Lonchura striata: one gene and its partner. The protein of the gene in region 1 purifies or fractionates together with the protein of each later gene. This does not show direct contact. Links are inferred from orthologs where the notes say so. Each region holds a gene or a part of one and is shown on either strand. Other genes may lie near its edges.

The links. Proteins that work in one complex are often made in the same cells at the same time.
Region 2: the proteins of ZNF644 (region 1) and ADNP purify together in Homo sapiens (affinity purification with mass spectrometry; 3 studies listed by BioGRID and IntAct, with this or other methods). This does not show direct contact. The link is inferred for Lonchura striata from reciprocal best matches to the Homo sapiens genes ZNF644 and ADNP.

What each region holds. Positions count from the first base shown.
Region 1 is NC_134611.1:20,147,744-20,157,882, reverse strand, and holds the start of ZNF644 (zinc finger protein 644), read left to right. Parts: upstream 1-6,133; 5' UTR 6,134-6,329; intron 6,330-9,382; exon of another isoform or gene 9,383-9,468; intron 9,469-10,139.
Region 2 is NC_134619.1:1,234,212-1,244,886, reverse strand, and holds the start of ADNP (activity-dependent neuroprotector homeobox protein), read left to right. Parts: upstream 1-5,706; 5' UTR 5,707-5,759; intron 5,760-6,251; exon of another isoform or gene 6,252-6,391; intron 6,392-6,818; exon of another isoform or gene 6,819-7,001; intron 7,002-10,675.

The DNA.
Region 1 (10,139 bases):
TCTATGAAAATGTTAACATGTTTTGCAAAAATGCAATAGATGGTACTGGGTGGACATACTTCACATAAAGAAGGTATATGTCCTTTCAAATACAAAATTGCCTAGATATAATAACAATTAATTTATTTCTGTATTTAATATATACTGCATGGAACTAGCATGTCTTTTTGACTGAAGCTAGATGACAATTTCTATATTTTCGATAGCTGAGCATAGGGAATAAGGCAAAACATTTTGTTTTGAAGGCTGTAAGGGTATTTTGTTTATATAAAGAAAACAATGTTTCTTTTGTAACTGTGAAACTTCCTATTAAAGGATGCATATAACTTTCAAAATAAGAAGACGCTTGTAACTGTAAATGGCTATGATATATTTGCTGTTCCCCCATCCACTTAGAGGCAAAACCTATTTATGAGGCTTTATTAAGTGCAAATAATTCCCATGGCTTCTGCACTGAAGAATCAGTTGCAGAATATAGTCTGATTTGCATATAAATGACATTATATGATTTCTGCTCAGAAAAGTATATTGAAAAATACACATTTCTGCATTGGAAACCTGATATTCACACATATTAAAGTTAGCTTGCATAACTTATTTTAAGCTGCTGCATGTTGATACCTGATCACACTTCTAGCTAGATTCAGGCTTTATCCTTTGAAATTGTGGACTTCTTCTTTTGATCTAATTAAGCTATAATTTAGAGAAACCGATTCCAAAACATTTATCTCATCAGTTTAAGCACTTAAAAATACTCAGAATATTCATCAGTAGAAGTGGAAAACTCCAAACTTAGCACTTTTCCTTATCTTCAATACTGTGAATTTGTGATGTGAGAGAATTCCTATTGTTTGAGTGAGACAGGAAAAGGCTGCTAACTTGCTCTAGTCACTTCAATAAATGGTAGGATGTAATGAAAGTAGACACAGAAATACTATTCTTTTTTATGCTTTAATCTGTCTAATGCAATAAGTAATACAGTGAACCTTGCCATTGAACTCTGTCTATTTTCACAGATTCTTATTGTATCCTGCTTTGCCAATACCTTTGATGGTGTTTTTTAAGCAGCCAAGCCACTCATTCAGGACAAGTGTCCACTTACTGACAGGCTCCTTCTGCTTCTTAGATCCATCCTAAAATAAAGGATGTTGAACAGACAGGCATTAAAAAGTTTGGAAGAGACCTGCCACACCTTGGTTTTCAAATTCCTGCTGGGCACAGGTCTTAATGAGCTGAATGCCATTGCCAGAAGCAACAGATTCTCTGCTTAGAGAGATTGATTTGCCACAGTGAGTTGTCATTAGTTTTGAATGCCTCATGGAGAGCTTGACACTGTCTAGTAAAGAAAAAGTGAACATAGTACTATCTAGAAACTTGGATGTGCAAATCAGAACCTCCTTTTTAACAATTTCTTTCAGTTTATAAAGGCTATTAAATTATCTGAATGAAAATGAGGCAGTACAATTTATTACTATTTTTCCTGGTTGTGGTGTAATATTTTAGCTGTTTTATTCCAGACTTGTTAGGTTCCTGGGTGTAGGAAATACATTTCTTTTATCCCAGAACTCTATCCTTGTGTCTTATGTGTTATGCCTGGGGAAGGTTTTTCTGTCTAGTTGGGAATTTCCATTCAAAGAATAGTCACCCAGCAGCTGTATCATTTATCATTTTCATTATCTTCTCAATTATAAAGATTTTAGGCTCTGAGGTCAGTTTAGTTTTTAAAAATTGTACTAACTGATGTAAATGTGTATTGACCAAAGCATCAGCACATTATCAAATAATTTTATTTCTTAATTGTGGTAGCAGAAGTGATAAAGAATGTGTTGGCCATTAAATAGATATGCTTATCTTGTGATTCATCACAGAGATGCGTTTCAGAGACTGGAGGCTTGCTTAGTGAGGAAAATAACCTGTTTTAGGAAGATAAGAGGTACAAGTGGATGGATCTCCCTCCCCGTCTCCTGGGTGTGATTGTCTCAGACAACCATATTAGCAGAAGCTTAGACACATTCTTAGCTCCTGGAATGAATTTGCTGAAGTGACAGTGCATACTGAGGATGATGGTAAAAAGATGGGCAGTGTATTCTGGAAGAAAATAAAGTTGGCAGCTTGCAATGGTGGAACACAGCTTCAGATAAGCATGTGGTTCAATAGAAATTAGTCTCTGTCCATAGACTTTATAGCAGTTGATCAGACCTGCTCTTTCAGTTCAAGCAGTTAATAATATCTCAGCACTGCAGCTTAAGGGATACAATTTTCAAAATTATTGTAGTGTGGGACCAATAAATTTCAGCACAAAGAAGGCACTATTCAATATAATTTATTTTAGATTTCCATCTAGGGTATGTTCTGACACTCCATATGAAAGTCAAATTGTCCATGTAAAATGGTTTTCGGGTGATAAGTTGACCCCTGGGGTTTTAGTAAAACAATAGGTTCAGAATTCCATCTGACTCTCCAATCTATAAAAGCTAGTTATCAGCTGTTTGAAGGATTTGATAAGAAAGCAAAAAAAAGAGAGCTTTTGTATAGTGACATTTTTCTCATTAATGGGGACAATGTAAGAATCACAAACTCCTTCTGGATTTGGTAGTAAATACTCTGCTGACGTGTTCCAGGAGATACTTGTTCTGTGTGAGGAGTGTATGTGTCTAATCCTCCACATGCATATGGAACAAGGAATATTTCTAATAGACATATACAGGCTGTCAAAGGAAGGACGTTTACCATGCCATCATCTGGCCATCATTTCTAAATGCATTCCACCACCAGAGCCTACTTCAGCAGAAGTTTTGCTGCAGAATGACTGTCTTACAGTGCCTAGAGACACAGTAGAATATTTAAAAGTAGTGCAAAACAAATGGTAACCTGAAAAGAAATGAGGTGTTATTTTAAGTTCTTGTCTGAACACTTGTATAGGACTTAGTATGATTTTTCCCCCTAGTTTTGTTATTTAATTGTATTTACTTGAGAATACATAAAAATAGTTCCTACTGTAACTTGTGACTTTGCTGTCAGTTTAAGTAGACCCAAAGTTGGGTAGAGGCTTTGTTGCATTTTGTTTTAGTAGATGGGTGTATCTGCATGTTCATGCAGCATTAGTGAGTAACTGGGAGAAGGTGACAGTAAGATAGGACCAGTCATTGCATTGTGACAGTAGAAGCAGCTTGCTTAATAAAATGCACTAAGCATGTTATGCTTAGTGCATTTGAGTGCCTCTTTGATTTTTCAGCAAGGAAAATACCTCCTGCTTTTAAAAAAACAACTGTGCTTAAGAAAATATTACTTTTCTACAGTCTATATAAAAAGGATAGTCTCAAAGCAAAACCCAAGTCCCTCCTCACTTGTTTGTGATGTTCCTGTACTTCCCCTTCCTGTGTGGGTGGTGAACATTGAGCTCACTGCAGAAGTACTGTTATACTCTGCTGCTGCAACTTTTGCAGGTGTGAGGAAGCTACACAGAGGGCACCTGTTTGCCTCCTGTGTTCTGGAAGGGGCAGACACGTCCTCCTCTAAGAGGAACTGAACAATGCTCAGGGGTGAAGATACCTGATGCTCCCAAGTTGGGTAGAGAAAGGAAATGAAGTGATCTGAGATGTTGTAGGCACGTATTGTGGAGGAGAGATTTTGCCTGTGGGACAGAGCAAACTTTAGAAGTGATAGGAGAAAGGTAGGTTTCCTAGAGCAGGTGTTCATGGCATCTCTGTGAACCATTTCAGAAATTTTCAGATTGGAAGAAAGACTGGAAAGAAAGATTTGCCCTGCAGTGACACAATGGAAACATTAATTTTCATGCTTTTTTATTAATTCTAGCTCTCCAAGAGATCAGACTTGTCGTGATTTAACGAACAATTCTATCCTCCCATTCCAGTAACATTTGCATTTATAAATAAGGATTGTGTGTGTGCTTATCAAACAGAAAACCATCTACCTAAACACAATTGCTAGTTCCAGGTCCTTGTGGAAACTATGTAAAAGAGCTAACTACTCTTCCACCTTACCTCTTCCTGGTTTTGTTTGGTTGATTTTAGCTTTATAGAGATAACTGGGTCTTAGTCCTGCAAGTAGGTAACTTATAACAGATGTGGGACAGGCCAGCTCCCTCCCATCAATAAACTGCTCGTTCAGGTGTATGTAAGCAGTACTGAGATCTACTGGAGTATGCTCAAAGCAAAGCATCTGTTGCATTCTTAAAGTGTTTTTCTTCTGGAAGAGCAGATATGAGAACCAGAATTTATTAATAACTCTGACTTCTGCTATTGACTGGATTTAATCTGCATTAATACTTTCCGAAGTAGCTATATATTTTCCTTTGGGTTGAGGTAATTATCATTTGTATTTGTGGCCCTAGTTAATTGTAGGCCTCACCTTTTGCTTACTTAAGCCCTGTGAGAAATTGTTTCCTTTCCTGGAGTGGGATGATGCACTGAAGGAAGTAAAGTACTTTATCTGCATTCCTCCATACCCCTAATAATGGGAAATGCTGGGCTGATATCATGTCAGGTGCTGTAGCTGTGTAAGTATTCACTGAAAAATCTGTGAGTGCAGCCATAGGTAGAGTTGGTGTCAGACATGAAAACATCATGATCCATCCCTGGAAGGAGAGTCTCAGAGCTCTGCATTAGGGAGGGCACACAGAGTAGCCACATGCCCAGCATCAGCCTCCTCCAGGACAGGGACAACAATCCATTACCCCAGCAGAATAAGTTTACTAAAGAAGCATCAGATAGATGTAGTTTTATAAAAAAGTCTCTCCCGTAACTTTTAATGAAAGAGTGGGGTATCTGTTCTAAGATGTTTTATTCAGGACATAACATGACTAAAAAGCAAAACAGGAGAAAAAATAGTGGACAAAGTATTGCCTCCTTCAGAGGCACAGCTTTAGGAATGACCTGTTTCTTACATGAAGCTTTGAGGGTGATGCTGAGTTTGGGGCAACCCTCACCTTCATGCCTTTATTTTGCCTTTTCTCCTCTGTAGACAAACTTCATGCAGAAGCCATTTTGTCTACTTCTATACAAGGTTGTGCTGACCGGCCAGATACTTTTGGAAGTATGACTGGAATGTGTTTGTGAAGATGTAGAAACCTAATCAGTAATTAAAATAGTCACTGAGGGTAAATCTGTGTTCTGTCAGAAAAGCTTGTTGACGCTATGGAGCTCCACTCTCGCCCTGTGCCACTCAGCTGTTGTACCAGGCCAGTTGTTCTGTAAGGTTCTTATGTGCATTACCTTTTGAGAAGCCTGTCTCTTATCTCTTGGCAATGCTGTTATTGCCAAAAGAAAGTGCATGTGTACAAGGAGCAAAGCAGACTCATGTTTCTTTCAACAGTTATATTTCACTCATCCTTGAACTGGAAAGTAGCCTTTGTTTCATGTATGTGGCAAGCGAACTACATAACATTAGTGAAACAGAGATCCTAAATCCTGTTTAGAATTGTCATTAGCAGCTACGTATATATTTTCAATTGTATTTTTTATTTGGAGTTTAGTCATAAGTCACCAAGATGTAGTTCTGCTTGTTAGCTATAGAGGTAGTTGACAGGGCTTGGAATAATCCAAGATTTCATCCCAGTTTCATAGCATTCCTCATTGCCTTGAAACTGTACTAGGCTTTGTATCTGTAGTGAAAGAACTAAATAAAGAGCATTAAATTGACGTTTCCACTCCTGTAGATGGAATGGGAAATGAGGAGCTCTTTGTCACCAACTGGAATGGGTAACATAATTCCAAGTACCATTTGTAAACAGCTGTGTCTTTCCTGCAGACCCTGACAAGAGATTTCAGACTGTGTTTCTTTAAAAAGGTCTTTGAGGAATACAACCCCCAGGATGCACCGCACACAAAGTGTTTTGATGTCTTTCACATGGGGCTCACATCGGACATTTCCCCTCCATTACTGCGCTCACAATCGCCGGCCTGAGGCGCGTGGAGGAATTGCCCATCCGCCGTGCAGGAACCGTGCGCGGAACGAGCCCTCGTTCACTGCGCACCGGCACAGCGCGGGGCTCAGTGCGGGGCCGGGCCCGGGACAGCGCGGGCCGCTGGCGCCGCGCCCGCTCCGCGCAGCCCGCGGGCCGGGCGGGCCGGAGGCCACGGCCCCGCCGGCCGTGCGCAGGGGCGGCCCGGGACGGCCGGGGTGCCGCCCTCGGGGCGCCGCCCTCCGGGGGCTTGAGCGCTGGCACTCGCGTGTCACCGTGCGCTCCCCCTCGGTGCTGGCACCAGGCGCAGGGGGAGACCGAGGTATGGCACAGCTTGTGCTGCAGGCACCCCATGGCGTGTTCCACGGTGCTTGTCCAGAGGGCTCTCGCGTCTCGGCGCTGCTGGGTAGGTGACACACAGACCCGCGGGCAGGGACCAAGGGAGGGACCCGGCCGCCACCGCCGCGCAGCCGCGCCCCGGAGGGACCTGGTGGCCCGGCTGCAGCTGGCCTTGCCTCGGCCAGGTGTTTCCGGACTTAAAGGGAGGCCAAAATACTGAACACCCATGCAAAAATGGAAGTTAAAAGCAAAGGCGCCGACTATATCGTAACACCGGCAAGAACTGTAACTTTAAATGGAGAGAGGCCTACGTAAGATGGCCAGTTCTGTGGGCTTGTACCAGATTGATAAAACGGTTAACAAGGGACTGATGTGCTGCAGAGGGAAGGTGACGTACCATCCTTTCGGGATTTTTCCAGACGAGTTCCCTTCTGACTCTTAATTTGTCCCCCTCGGGTGACAGCTGGGCCAGCTAGGGCGGCCAGCCGAGCTGGGGTACCATTTCCAGCCACTGCTGCCTGGAGCACCTGGGTGTGCAGTTCCTCTGCACCGAGCCCATCCGCGTCTGCCCGCCCCAGGCAGCCCATCACCCTTCCTGTGGGAAAGAAGGGAAACAAAAGAGCCTTTTGTTTCTGCCTTTAATGCAGAAATAGGTTATAGGATAGTTCTTGTCTCAGAATTTATTTTCTCCTGAAAGTGTGTGCCCAAAGCAGCTGTTGTGCTGACCTCCCTGCCCTGTGTGCGAGGTCCCGGTTGCATGCCGGTAGGAGAAGGGAGAGGTGGCGAGATCTGGCTTGGGGTCGTGGCTGCGACCTTGCTGGGTTTGGCTCTGCAAATGGGACCCAAGAGGCCGGCGGTGGCTCTGGGGCTGGGCAAGGCTTGGGTGTGCCTGCGGTCGGAGTGGGGCTGCGCATAGATCCTTCCCTACAGAACAGTTTTGTCAGCACATGGACTGGTACTGGCTTCACATTCCTTCCCAGAGTTCTCGAGATGTTAACTTTCAAAAGGGCGGTCTCCCTTGTGGATTTATGTCAGTGATTTTGGGTTTTAAACTATTCATGCATGAAAAATGACTTAGGAGCTGTATACTCCCATGTATGAATAATGACTACATGGGAACACAGATTACAGCAGTTTTGAACTGAGACTGCTGCAGTTTACATGCTCGCTTTGGGAACATTATGAAGCGTTTTTAAATGCTGGTTCATGTTAATGCATTGATTTCAATCAGTCTCTTTTTGTCCCTTTTGGATTTGTTCAACTTAACAGCTAGCTTGTTTCATGTTTGCTCTAAGATATGCTTAGCAAATTAGGCAAATAAAAAAATGCATGCAAAAATATGGTGCTATGCACACGTATCAGGTTTTTTATTTATTAATAGACTCCAATTTCCATACGATAGTCTGCCTTTTTTTTAAACTTTGGCTCAATGGATAGTTTATGCCAATTACACATAGTTTAACAGCTTTGAAATCTGTTTTTGCTTTTCTAATTCATGAAGACATTGATTCTGTTTCAGGTTTTAATTAAACTCTACACTGACTTTAAATTCTATTGTCCTTTTCATTTAAATAGGATTTTTGTTAGATCTTTAACAAGACCTCAGTGGGGTAATAAATCTAAGCAATTGTCCTTATTAGGAGTAGATTATCCTCAAGAGATGGAAAGTCACAGAAGTAACTAAAACCATTTGCAGAGACTGAAGTAAGGCTTTTTCTTCCTAAACATTAAACAGACTTGAAAATTACTTGCTTGGGCACTCAAATTAAATTAAATGATATTTTGTTTATTTTTCACATTTTTAGTATAGGCTATTTGCATTTACTTAAAATTTGAGTTTCATTGAGTAGAATTCACTCCTGAATAAGGATCCTTACTTTCAGTATACAAGCTGTAACTGAAACTCAGTATATCCTGACATTTCTTTTGTTAACCCTTGCAGTGCTTCTGTCAGGACCTGCTGACACAGTGAGTGTATTCTTAGTTCGTTGTTTTTGCCATAGAGATGAGTCTTGGTTGAAGAATTGGTTTTGTGTTTATCCCACAAAACCTTCTCCAGCAAAGAAGAACTGTGGAGTATGCAGGAGTGTGGAGCTTGAGAAAGATCTCACATGCTGGATTTGAAACACAGGTTCTTGGAGAAAACTTGTCACACACTCAACAGTTCTGTCTAGGTTTGACCTTACCGTATTTACATACTGTTGAGAAGTGGAAGGGGATATAACTCTAATGGTTCTCTTTTTTTCAGTTGTTCATTCGGAGGTATTCTCTGTTCTGCAGGTGCTCCAGGTTTGCTTTGTTCCTGGCTTTAGTCATTGGTTGACTTCTGATGGGACAAGGCCTCCTGGCAAGTCAAATCCTGACTATTTCCCCAATATTTAATTCCCAACTTCATCATACACATTGTGGTGCATTTTCTATAAACATTCCGTTGTATGGAAGCTCCATTTTGGGGGACACTGTTTACTAGGACTTCGTTCTACAAACCAACGGGCAAAGGCAGGGATGTTGTTCAGAGACACTGTCCCCGTGAGCCCTGCCGAGCCAGCGCCAACTCCCTCGCTGGCCAAGCCGCTGCCCTCCGCGGGAAGCAGGGCTGAGGGGACACGGCTGAGGGGACATGACACGGCTGAGGGGACATGACACGGCTGAGGGGACACGGCTGAGGGGACATGACACGGCTGAGGGGACACGGCTGAGGGGACATGTCCGCAGGGCCACGGCTGAGGGGACATGGCTGCAGGGCCACGGCTGAGGGGACACGGCTGAGGGGACATGGCCGCGGAGCCAGGGCCGCAGGAGGAAGCCGGGCTGCGGGAACGTGGCTGAGGGGACATGGCTGCGGAGCCACGGCCGCAGGAGGAAGCCGGGCTGCGGGAACGTGGCTGAGGGGACACGGCTGAGGGGACATGGCCGCGGGGCCAGGGCCGCAGGAGGAAGCCGGGCTGCGGGAACGTGGCTGAGGGGACACGGCTGAGGGGACATGGCCGCGGGGCCAGGGCCGCAGGAGGAAGCCGGGCTGCGGGGACACGGCTGAGGGGACATGGCCGCGGGGCCACGGCCGCAGGAGGAAGCCGGGCTGCGGGAACACGGCCGCACGTGACGCGCCCGCTCCGCCTCCGCCGGGAAGGAGCCCGCGGCTCTGCACGGCCCGTGAGGACCAGCCCCTCTCGGTTGTTGCAGCGCTCCCGGCTCTCAGCCAGCAGGTATTTAATGTCTCGGAGTCCTCCTGTCCGTGGGCTCCTCTGCCCCTGTCGGGCAGGCCGGCGTCTCTGCAGAGCCAGGTCCTGTCAGCCTCCCCACATGGCATTTGCTGTGCTTCTCTACTGAGGGACTTCACTTCAAACCTTCTTGCCTTCTACGTGATACTCTAGTGATACTCTGCGGCAGTACGAATTATGTTAGAGGAACATAGCTAATAAATATTAATTTCTAATTAGACTCTATTTGCTGCATATTCTAGGCAGCATTACAGGTTTTGAGCCTTCATCTGCCACTTTCCATATCACTCAAATGGCAGAGATTTTGGTATGGTAAATCACAGAGGAAGGTGGAAAATCTGATGCAAAGTGAGATAATGTAGTTCTTCATTTTTATGGCTCTTCTGTGCCCTGATAGAAAAATTTAAAACATAGAAGGTGCTGACAGCAGGTAAGTCACCTAGATCCTGCTCTGCTTTCAATATAAAGCCCGGGGAAAGTGGAGGAAGGGAATACATACCCTGGTTTTTAGGTTCGGATTGAAACTCACCCCTCCTTCTAAAGCAGTGTACTGGAGGAAGCGTGGCAAAACTAGGCTGAGTCCTGCAACTTATTTAATATGACTCAGTGCACAAGATTATGAGTGCTAAGAGTGTTCAGCCTTTGGGACAGAGGCT
Region 2 (10,675 bases), on another chromosome or scaffold:
GGTAAATAGGTGAAATTTCTCACTGTGCTTAAAGGTGATGGATTTATCAGGGAAAAATGTGCTATAAAGGAACAAACCCAAGAGCTCCGTGGCATCAGGACATGAGCAGACACAACAGTGCCTGAAAGAAGGAAAACTGATCTCAGTGTGCACCACCTGCTTGCAGGAAGCCCCTCTGAAGGAGCTAACCCGTGGGCCCCGTGGGCAGGGGAAGCATTAGGGACACCCAGGCTCTCCTGCCTTAGTGGGGTCTACACACACACACACTTCCCCACACCCACCATGGAAACCACTCGGCTTTTCCTAGAAAAAGAAAGCCTTGTGATCTTGCTGTTCTCAAAATGTTAGTAACAGACTAGAGTGGAACAGCACTTCTATAATCTTTAGGGATCAGGTGCTTGGAACTCCATATAATGTCTTAAATATTCATGTACTAGGGATTTACATAGTGGCATTTTAATTTTCAGTTCCTTAATACCATTGCAATACTCTCCTTGCCTTGTTTTGGCCACCACAAAACACTGACTTGACATTTACTGAGAATTTTTCATTTTATGTCCTTGGCTTTACAGTTCCACATAAATCAGCTTTTCTTAATTACATCCATATTCATTTCCTATGAAGGCACAAATACCCTGCTAATGCACTTTCTCTATTATACTTTCTCAGGAATCTGTGTCTGCGAGCACTCAATCATCTGGCAGGAGCAGGAGCTGTAATTGCTTCCTGGCTGCCAGCAGTTCGGAGCAGGGCTGGAGCTGGGCATGTTCCACGCAGGGGAGAAGGTAACTCACGTTTGGCACCGTGGCTTCCCTGCCCCGAGCAGATTTAGGGGCTCAGGCACCAGGGCCAGCAGTTCAGTCCCTCTGCCCCAGAGGATGCTGAAGCTGGAACCTCCCAGACCCCAAAGCCTGGCTTGTTTGTGTTCTGGGGTGTGAATCCAGAGCCAGCCCCACACCCCTAGCTGCTCTCTTTGGTGAGGATTTTTCTGCTCTGAGGTTCAGGGGAGTTGGCTTCTCTTTTGCTTTGGGTTTTTGACAAAATCTGAGACTTTAACCTCAGCCTGCAACAAAGATGAACCTCGCTGCCAATATAAACACTCTAATCAAACAGATCTTCCAGTGGACTGTGCAGAAATCCAACTGCAAGGCTCCACAACCTTCTGCACATCAACAGTAAAAAATAATGATGACTAATCAATAATATTTATTCGAGGGTCTATCAGTACAAGCCTGGATTGGAATCTTGGCAGAAATGAATTCAGTGACAGATTGCCTGCTGAGTTCAGTGCAGGGATGACTTCAGCCACACATTTCAGTGGCTGGCATTCCAGAGCTCAGGCAAATGCTGATACCAGGAGCAGCAGGAGCAGGGGGTGTGCAGGGGACAGGACTGCTCATCAAACTCTTCCTTGCTTTAGAACTTGTTTATTACCTCCCCTGTGCCATGCTGCAGGAGACATGGGCAAAGAAAGAAACTAGTGCCAAGCACAGCAACTTTGAGCATCATCTCCTCCTCTGTTCCTGCCATGTTGTACCCCTCTCTCCAGGCATTGTGGCAATTAAAAACTTTCTTATAGACTGGTTGTCACTGTTCAGGGGAAAATATATTGGAACCAGAGAGAGAAAAATTAATTACACCGTTTAATCCAAAACTAGATCTGAAAACTTAGCCATTGAGAGGGATTTCAACAAAGCAGACAGCATAAAATGGGAAGTTATTCCTGCAAGGTGGTGGCACTGGCTGTTCAACAGAAACTGGCACCAATGCTGGCAGGTGTCTGATCAGCACAGGAGCTGGGTGGCTTAGTGGGTCTTAAAGATCATTGTGAGACCAGTGGTCCTAATGCTGATTAACTTACTTGTATTTATTATATAATTAATTATGTTGTGTGTAAAAGCATCAATAGTCATCTTAATTATTTTGTATTTGAATAAAACCCAAGCATGACACTGAGCTAGTAGTAGGATGAATCTGGGCACAGTTTTGACCTGAAGCAGCAGCACAACGCATGTGCAATTAAAGCTATTCAGCTTGGGAGTGCTAATTGCCTCCCCTCTGGTGTGAAGTGTTTCGTCTCTTACAATGCAGTGATTTTACTGATTTTTCCAGTGGCTGTATTGTTAGAAACAATACCCACTTCTGCAATAGAAAAAGTAGATTAAGACTATTAGCATCAACTTCTGTTTCATTTTGTTCACTCTGTACACACAGGAGAAAAATGATGTCAAAACTCCTTTTCTCCTTCTTCTGCACTGCTTGAATTTTAGCTTTACTATCAATCTTTCCACACAAACTTTGTAAATTCTCATCTTTCTTCCCCAAATCCCTGTTGACAGCTGTCACACTTCAAACCACCACAAGAACCCTCCTGAGCTGAATGAGAACAAGATCTTGTCCATCACTCATGACTGCTTTCACACCCTCTCATCCTTCCCCCATTTTCTCAGCCCTGTCACTGTAGATTTTACCCCGAGGCAGGCAGTGGCTCCCTTCTGCTCCAGCTTCTGCTGCCACATCTCCTTTCCCTCCCTTTCTCTCCCCTACCCTAAAATCAGAGGGGTGCCTGCAGCACCCCTCTGATGCACTGAATATTTCTGCCTCCTGACACTCTCCTTTCTATCTGGGTCTAATTTCATCCCCTCCCATGCCAAATTCCAGTTTCTACACTCTTCACAAATGTTTTTCCACACTGTAATCATGGACTGAGTACCAACATCATGGCTGGGAGTGTTCCCAGCTGAAACTCCTTGATATTACTGCTCTGGGGAAACTCTATCCACCTCTATTTCCATCCCAACCTTATCTTACCTTGTCTTCTGGTAAGTACATACAGCAAGACACAAATTTACTCAGATACCTTCACTTGCTCCCAGAATTCAGGGCAGGGAATGATGCCCAACAGCCTGTTCAGCTCTCCTGTCTGAATTGCAGGTCTCTGTGTTTGAGCTGTTGTGTCCTTTGCACAGATCTTTGTGTTGTGCTCACTCCTGTAAATATCTCTCAAATATCATTTCTATCTCCAGCTGCATTATCACATCCCACTTACACTCGGTTCCTCCAACCTTCAGACACTTCTGCTTACTCAAATCCAGCCCTTAGAGCAGGTCTGTGGGTTGTTCTTCTGGAGCTGGTGTATTTTTTATCTTAAGTGATGGCTAAAAAGTGGCCAGTGGTAAGGCACAAATTAAATAGTGTTCGTATAGGAAGGTGCTCAGGTGTGGGGCTGTGTATTTTAGGCAGGAGCAGACTGGCTCAAGCAGCCATGAAGTTAATTGAGAGTTTCTGAGTATGGTCCTGCCTTAGTGACGTTTCAGAATGTTCCCCAACATGCTTCAATAACATGCTTCAACAATTGTGCCATCAGAGAAAAATAATCGACTCTTGGAAGGCAAAATGATGTTATTATAGGAAAACCAAACCAGCTCTTTTTGCTTTCCTTCCTTGAGACAGATTCCACACAAGTCTCAGGGAACTCTCAAAGTACCTCAGTTCTAGGGGCTCTTTAACACCAAAGCACTAGCTTTGGTTTCCAAGTTTTGTGTATTTCCTGGGTTTTTAATTTACATTTCCATGTAAAAAGATTTTGTGACTTCCCGACTTCTTATGACCACTGATGTGAAGATGCCATGGGAGCAGCCAGTGAAACCCAGGTTGACTTGCAGCCACAAGCAGGGGATTTCTATGTCCCACTGAGTCAGAAAGTCTCAAAGCAGCCTCAGAGACAGAACAAAACATCACTAAATTCTTCATAAACGCTACTTCAGTGAATTGTGATAAACAGCATGTACAGATTGTCAGGACACCAGTCACCTGTAAATGCAGGAGATCCTTAAGTTACATGAAGTCTAAAGAACTGGTGACAACTTTGCTTCTGCACTTCAAGCAAGGAGTCAAATTTCCTTTCTAGCATTGTGAGCTTAAACTCCAACGTGTCACTGAACCAGAAAGGGTGTGAACACTGAGGATGGAGGGAATTACACTTTACTTCCTCCTCCAAGTGTTTGTGTCTTTCTGAAGTAACAAAAGCCATCCATTCCTGTCACTCCTAGAAGGGTTTTTAGAAATCATCCTCATTTGTTAAAGAGACCTTGAACAGCGTCAGGATCCACAAGGAAGACTCACATGTGGGCTCTTGTCCTGATCCAACATTCCTGCTGCAAATGGGATGTCCAGGGGCATCCACAGGTGTGTGTGACCACACGTGCACAGGGCTCACCAGAAAGATCACAGTCCCGCCTTTGGGCGCTGGCTCGTTCTCAGGGTGTTAACCCAAAGTCTGAAGGGACATGGAGGGATTCCTGGGGTTGTCCTGTGCAGGACCAGGAGCTGGACTCAACAGTCCTGGTGAGCGCCTTCCAGCTCAGCATATCCTATGGTTCTGTGATGAATTTGGATTTCAGAGCATGTAGAGCACATAGCTCGTGTCGCCTCACGGTGCCACCGTCCCAGCCCATGGCAACTTTGCCAAAGGGTGTCCCAGTGAGGCTGCCCTGGCCGAGCTGCGATGGGCACAACCCCAGAGCCAGTCCAGCTGGCAGGGACACAGTGGCTCAGCCGGTGCCACCTCCCTGCTCCAGCAGGGCCACCCCAGAGCCCGTGGCACAGGCCTGTGTCCAGACTGCTCTGCAATCAGACCCCAGAGCCTCTCTGGCCTCTGCTCAGGGCTGGCACTGCCCAGGGCAGTTCTGCCTCCTGGGCAGGGGAACTGCTGGGCTCAGGCCCTGCCCTGGCTCTGGTGCCACGGCTGGGCCCCGGAGCAGAGCCCGGGCCTGCTCTGCCCTCCGGCACCCGGGGACAGCCAGGGCGGAGCCCCCTCTCACTGGGGCTCGCGTCCAGGCTGGGCACCCCCAGCTCGCTCGGCCTTTCCTGGGCACGGAGACGCTCCAGGCCCTTCAGCATCCTCGCAGCCCCGGGCAGATGGACACGGCAGGACCACCGGACACCGGGGCCGGGCCGGTCGCCGCCCTGAGGCGCCGCCGCCGCACGAGCCCCGCGCGCGCTCCCGGGGCCGCCCCGCGGTCACGTGCGCGTCCCCGCGCTCGCGGGCCCCGCCCCGCTCGCGCCCCCGCCCCGGCGGCGGCGGCGGCGGCCCCTCAGGACGGGATGTAGTCCCGGCCGGGGGCGCGGCGGAGGGATCCCCGCGCCGGACCCAGGCGCAGGGCGCGGCGCCTCCTAGCGGGGCCGGGGTAGATCCCGCCGCCGCCGCTGCCGCCGCCGCCTCCGCCGCCATGGCCGCGGCCGGCCCGGTGCGCCCCGCGGGGGCCCCCCAGGGGCGGGGTCGCGTCCCCGCCCGGTGCGGCGGGCGCGGCGGGGCCGGTCCCGCGGGGACCCCCGGGGCTCCCCCGCCCCCCCCCCCCGGGGCGCGGCCCCCTCCCCTCCCGCCGGACAATGAGTCCCGTATGCTAATGAGGGTCTGGCGTCACTTCCGCTCTTTCTCGGCCGCCATCTTGGCCCGGGCAGGCTGTGGGCAGCGGGACCCGGCTGTATTGTCTGAGGGGCCCGGGCGCTGCCCCCGCCCGCGCCCCCGCCCCGGCCACCCGGCCCAGTCACCGCCGCCCCCGCCCCCGGGGCCGCTCCGCACCGCCCGCCCCGCACACTGCACCCCCTCCCCCGTCATCTCCCCCTTTGTCTCCCCCGCGCCGCCGGCGGCTCCGCTCCGCCCGCCCGCCCCGGGACCGGGCGGCGCCGGGGAGGGTCCGGCGCCCCCCCGCCCCCCCCGCCCCAGCCCGCCCTCGCTGCGAGGAGAGCCCGCTCAGGTAGGTGCGAGCGCGGGTCCGCGGTGCGACCCGGGCGGGGACAGCGCCCGACCGCCCCCTCCCTCCTTCCCTCCCTCCCGCGGGCATCCCGCGCCGTGCCCGCCGCCCTGCCCGCCGCACCGGGCGTGCGGAGCTGGCAGCGGCCCCTCCCCGCCCGCACACACGTTGAGGAGCCCCGGCGGTGCGGGCACCGCGGCGCTGCTCCCTGCCCGCCGCCGGCCCCGGCCGCCTCCCTTCCCCGCACGGACGCGTCCCGGCAGCCCGAGGGAGCGGGACCGCCAGCCGCCGGCCGCGTCCGGCATCCCTGGGTGCAGCTGCACCGGGCCCCGGCGGCGGAGTTGGTGCTGGAGCGGCGCCGGGGATGCGATGAATGGGAGCAGCCGAGGGGTCCCTGCCCGCGGGAAAAGGCGGGACCCGCCGCTGCCATCCCGAGGCGCAGCTGCGGCACGGAGCGCCGTTACCTCACCCATCCGTGCCCCGGGCTACGCTTACCGACACCCGTTTGCGAGACAAAGGCGGGGGACGCCAAACTCGGAGCTTCGCGGCCGCACCGGGCAGATGCCCCCGTGCCACGCACCCCCTTCCCGGGCGGCTGCGGCCCGGGCGGGGGCTCCGAAGCAAGTGGCAGTGCGTGCGCGGTGCCGGGGTGCCGGCGCACCCCCGGTGCCCCGGCAGCGGCCGCGGGCGTGACGCCGCGGCCCCCCCGAACCGGAGCGCGCCCGGCGGGGCGCTGCGCGGCGGCAGCCGGCAGGGGGCGCCCTGCGCGCCGGGCCCGCCGCGGCGGGGGAGGGGAGCGCTCCGGGGGCACCGGGGCGCGGGCCGGGCTCGGGGCTGGCCCGGCTCTGCGCACGTGGCCGCAGCCCCCGGGAGCGGCGAGCCTCGACCGCGGGGCACAGCCCCGTCACCGCTGGTCTTGGTGGTCCTTGTTCCTTGGGTGTGTTCAAGCCGTTTTGTAGGTGTCAAAGAGGTTTGCGTCCTCTCCTTTTCATTAAGTTAAGGGTTTTTTCCCTAGCTATGTTTCTGTTTATTTTTGCTGGTATTTCCTGTTTCTGTCTGGAGGTGTGAGGTAACGGAGACAGAGGATTCCCGCCCGTCAGGGTAGCGTGGACCGACCTTAGCTGGCTGCTGTGCAGCTCAGCCTTGTGTGCCTCAGCAGTGCTCCCTCCTGCAGGGTCTCCTACTCGGGAAAACTTTCACTTCAGGACTCTGCAAACTCATAATCACAAGCTGTCATCCCTCTAGGTGAGAAAGATGGATCAGTCTGCTTAAGAAACAGAAAAGCCTTTTTTTCCTGCTTTTAGTAACAAACCAAACCAAAGCTTGGTTCCTTTGCAGATGTGCAGTTGCAGATGTTGGGCAGTAATTTGATATCAGCAGATGGACATTACCATGATATGTGCTGAAATCTTAAAAGAGACAACAGACCAGAAACACCCTGTTGTTAAGAGAATTGCACCAGATGCTGATGGGTTGTAACATAATGGTTACCTTTTCTGAAGACTGTCACAGCAAATACTTCCAATTTCAGTCTAAATAGAGATGTCCTTTTTGACACACAACAAATAATTTGTTCTCCAAAATTGATACCAAGCTGGATGGTTTTGCACTATTTTTGGTGGTTAGCTGCCCTTTGCTCAAATTAGCATTATTTCTTAGTTAGCATTCAAGAGTGACTTTTTGGTATCCAGCAGACATGAGATGCTCCCAGGGGATGTCTCTGAGATCATTGAAAACTGATACCGTTTTAGTGCCCCATTACTAAAACTAATTTTTTTTTGTTTTGAATTGAAGTCCATCAGGCAGGTTTGTAGGAGGCATCTCTTTAGGTTACCACTATTTATGCTTCAGGGTGTATTGTCATGAAGAGCCTGCGGTTCACTTGTGTTGGGCTGTGGGAGGTAGGTGCTGTTGGATGTGCAGGGGAAGGTGAAAGGCTCCTCCTTTGCCTGTAGGTGAGACAGACCCAGTGCCACACTTGGGAGTGAAAAGCCTTCACAGGAGAGGAAGACCGAAGAGGAACTCCTGACTGTCTTGGAAAGTTCATGCCCTGCAGTGTTAAGCACCAGCTGCACAAACACAGCGCCCAGGAAGGTGTTTGTGCTCCTCAGGCTGAGAGGAGGAACGTGATGGATTTTCTGTGTGTAGGGCAGAAGGTACCAGTGGTCAGAAGTGCTTGCTGACACTGACACAGAGGTCCCTGTCCTTGCCACAGCGTGTGGGTTAAGTGTAAACTCTCACTTAACTCTTACTTAACTCTCACTTGGTGGTGCTGCCCAGATCCCTGCGCTGTTCTGAGCACCGTGAGCTGTAGGGAAATGCAGGACACGTCTTCTGGGGCAGCTGGGTTGTGCTGCTCACACGCTGCAGGTGAATAATGGCTCATTAGTCCCAGCTCAGCTTTGCCACTCTGTAATAACATAAATACTGAAAGTAAACATTGAAGTTTACAGTGGAATTCCTGGAATACAGAAACATACCAGGATCTTATCAGTAGTCATAAGTTATATGGTCTGAGTGTATATTTTATAGCTTGTTATTAAGACAGCAGCTGATTTGATTGATGCAAAGAAAGAAGTTGAAACAAGTGATTTTATGAAAGAAAAGATGGTGCTCCTGGGTTAATGTGTTTGTTTTAAGGTAGCTGCAAATAACATTTAGCAACTTAATAGGAGATGTGTTGGGTGCTTTTTGTGGGGTTTTATCTCCAGAAAGGGAAAGTCATCTTTGCTCTACTACTTGAGATGTTTAAGGGAAACAAAATTCTGCTGGGAATGACCAAAGCAGTATCAGACCTGAGAAGGACCAGTTTAAAGACTGTAGGAGAGGTGCCAGGAGAGGCAGGGAACAGCTCTGGGGCTGAGCTGCCCACTGTGTTGTTTCACAGGTGCCATTGGAGCTGCTCTACCTGCATGGGCAAAATGGACACATTTTTAAAAGTCATTAGTGCAGCTGAGTTTGTATATTAATAATGCTATGTTTAGTGGAATTATTTTCTTTAAGATGCATGCACCATGCTGGTTTAAAAACACAACAGCTGACTATGCTGGCCTGTATCTAAACAAGCATCACACAGTCTTTTTTTTTGGTATATTGAGTCAAGAGCTGCTCTGTGCCCAGATATACATATATATATATATATATATATATATATATATATATATATATATATATATATATATGTGTGTGTGTGTGTGTGTAAGGTATGTAAGGTATCGTTCCTATGAACATTATCGTAACAGGATAATTTTTAATGTGGAGATGGTTCTGCTCATATAAATAAATCTGTTGCTAGTGATGTTTCTTGATAGTGTAAAAGATGGGATGACAATGAAAGGTGCTGCTGTGAGTCTCTGCACTGGAAAAAAAAAGAACCCTTACTGATGTTAATTTAGTTTTAATAAAAATAAATATTGTACCTTTATTGTATGTGAGAGGTTTATTTTGCCTCACCTGGCATATTTGGGAAGAATGCCCTTGCTCTCCTAGGCAAGATGGCCAAATTGGCCTGTTCCTTTTGAGCTTTCAGGAAGAACTTAAACCTGGTTTGAAATTCAGATGGGTGTTCCAGATTTGAATAAAGGCTTCTTCCAGAGGGTGTGACTCCTGTTTTTCTACCTGAGGGCCATGTGCCTCAAGGCAAGAACTGCATTGTTCACAGCTTCACTGCAGCTCTGGAGTCAGAAGGCAAACAGGAGCTTGTGTTTAGTGTCTCTGATTTCTCTGTAGTGCTCTTGAATGTGAATGAGGGTTGATGGTTTGGAGTAAGAATGGAGTAAATACCATTTTTTATGCAGTGAGTCACTTTCAGTTACTGCCATTTATATCCTTACTGTTTTTTTCATTTTTTAAGGTGGCATTAGGGATTATTTAGATGAAAACTGAGAGTGGTTGTTGAGTCCAAGGCCTGTGTAGTTGACCTTGTGGACACACCACACCTGCAGATCTTTCATTTAATATCTACTTCTCAAGTACTTTCTAAAGCAATTTACAAGAAACAAAAATAAAGCAACTGCATGAGCAGCTGTTCCCTGAGGGAGCACTCCAACTCCTCCAGTCCTGCAGGTGGAGGAAAGGGCCTGCTCTCAGGCCTGCCTTCGCTTTTGGCTGTTTCTTCCCTGCCCCGGCTCCTCTCCCAGGTCTCAGCCGATGCTTTCTTTCATGCTGTTGGCCCTCTGTGTGCACTGATTTCTGATGGGACTCTGGATCTCAGGGCTTGTGCTCATGCTGCAGCTGGGCCGAGGAAGGTGGTGGTGGTGCAGCTTCATAGCAGCAGCAGTAAGGGGACAAAATGGCTCTGGAAGCCTAAGCAGGCAAGAGAGTGTTTATAATGCTTTTTTCACCTGAATAGTCAAACTCAAGTTTGTGATCTTCTTTTTTGTTTTGTTTCCCCATTGCTGCTGCTGTTGCTATGAAGCCTGTCAAAGGTTCCTGAGGCAGATGGAAGACAGCAGCAGCTGAGGTGGACTAACTGCAATGTAGGCAGGGATTGGAGCCCTTGGGAGCTTAGACAGAAAGGGAGAGGTAAATGTGCAGTGTGAGACTGGTCTGAAGCTCTTGTTTACAGCCTTTCCCCGTGTTGTAATGGCAGCGTTTGTGCCTCGCGTGTGTGAAGTGTAAGGCAAGGGAAAACAAGCGGCTCCAGCCTCCTTCAGTGCCTATTTTTACCCTCGGAAAACTCAGATGCAGCCAGTTGGCGAGATCCCTCCAGTATCTGATGGATCTGCTGTCTGAGACAGCGTGGATTGGCGGGGCTTTGGATGGGCTGGGGAAAGTATTGCTGTGCTCTTTGTGTGCTGGTTTGTGAGCTGCTCTGCGCTCTGGGTGTGAATACCTGAGTGTCTGTGTGTGACTGTGTGTGTGTCTGTGTGTCTGTCTGTGTCTGTCTCTGTGTGTGGGGGAGCTGCCAGGGCAGGGCT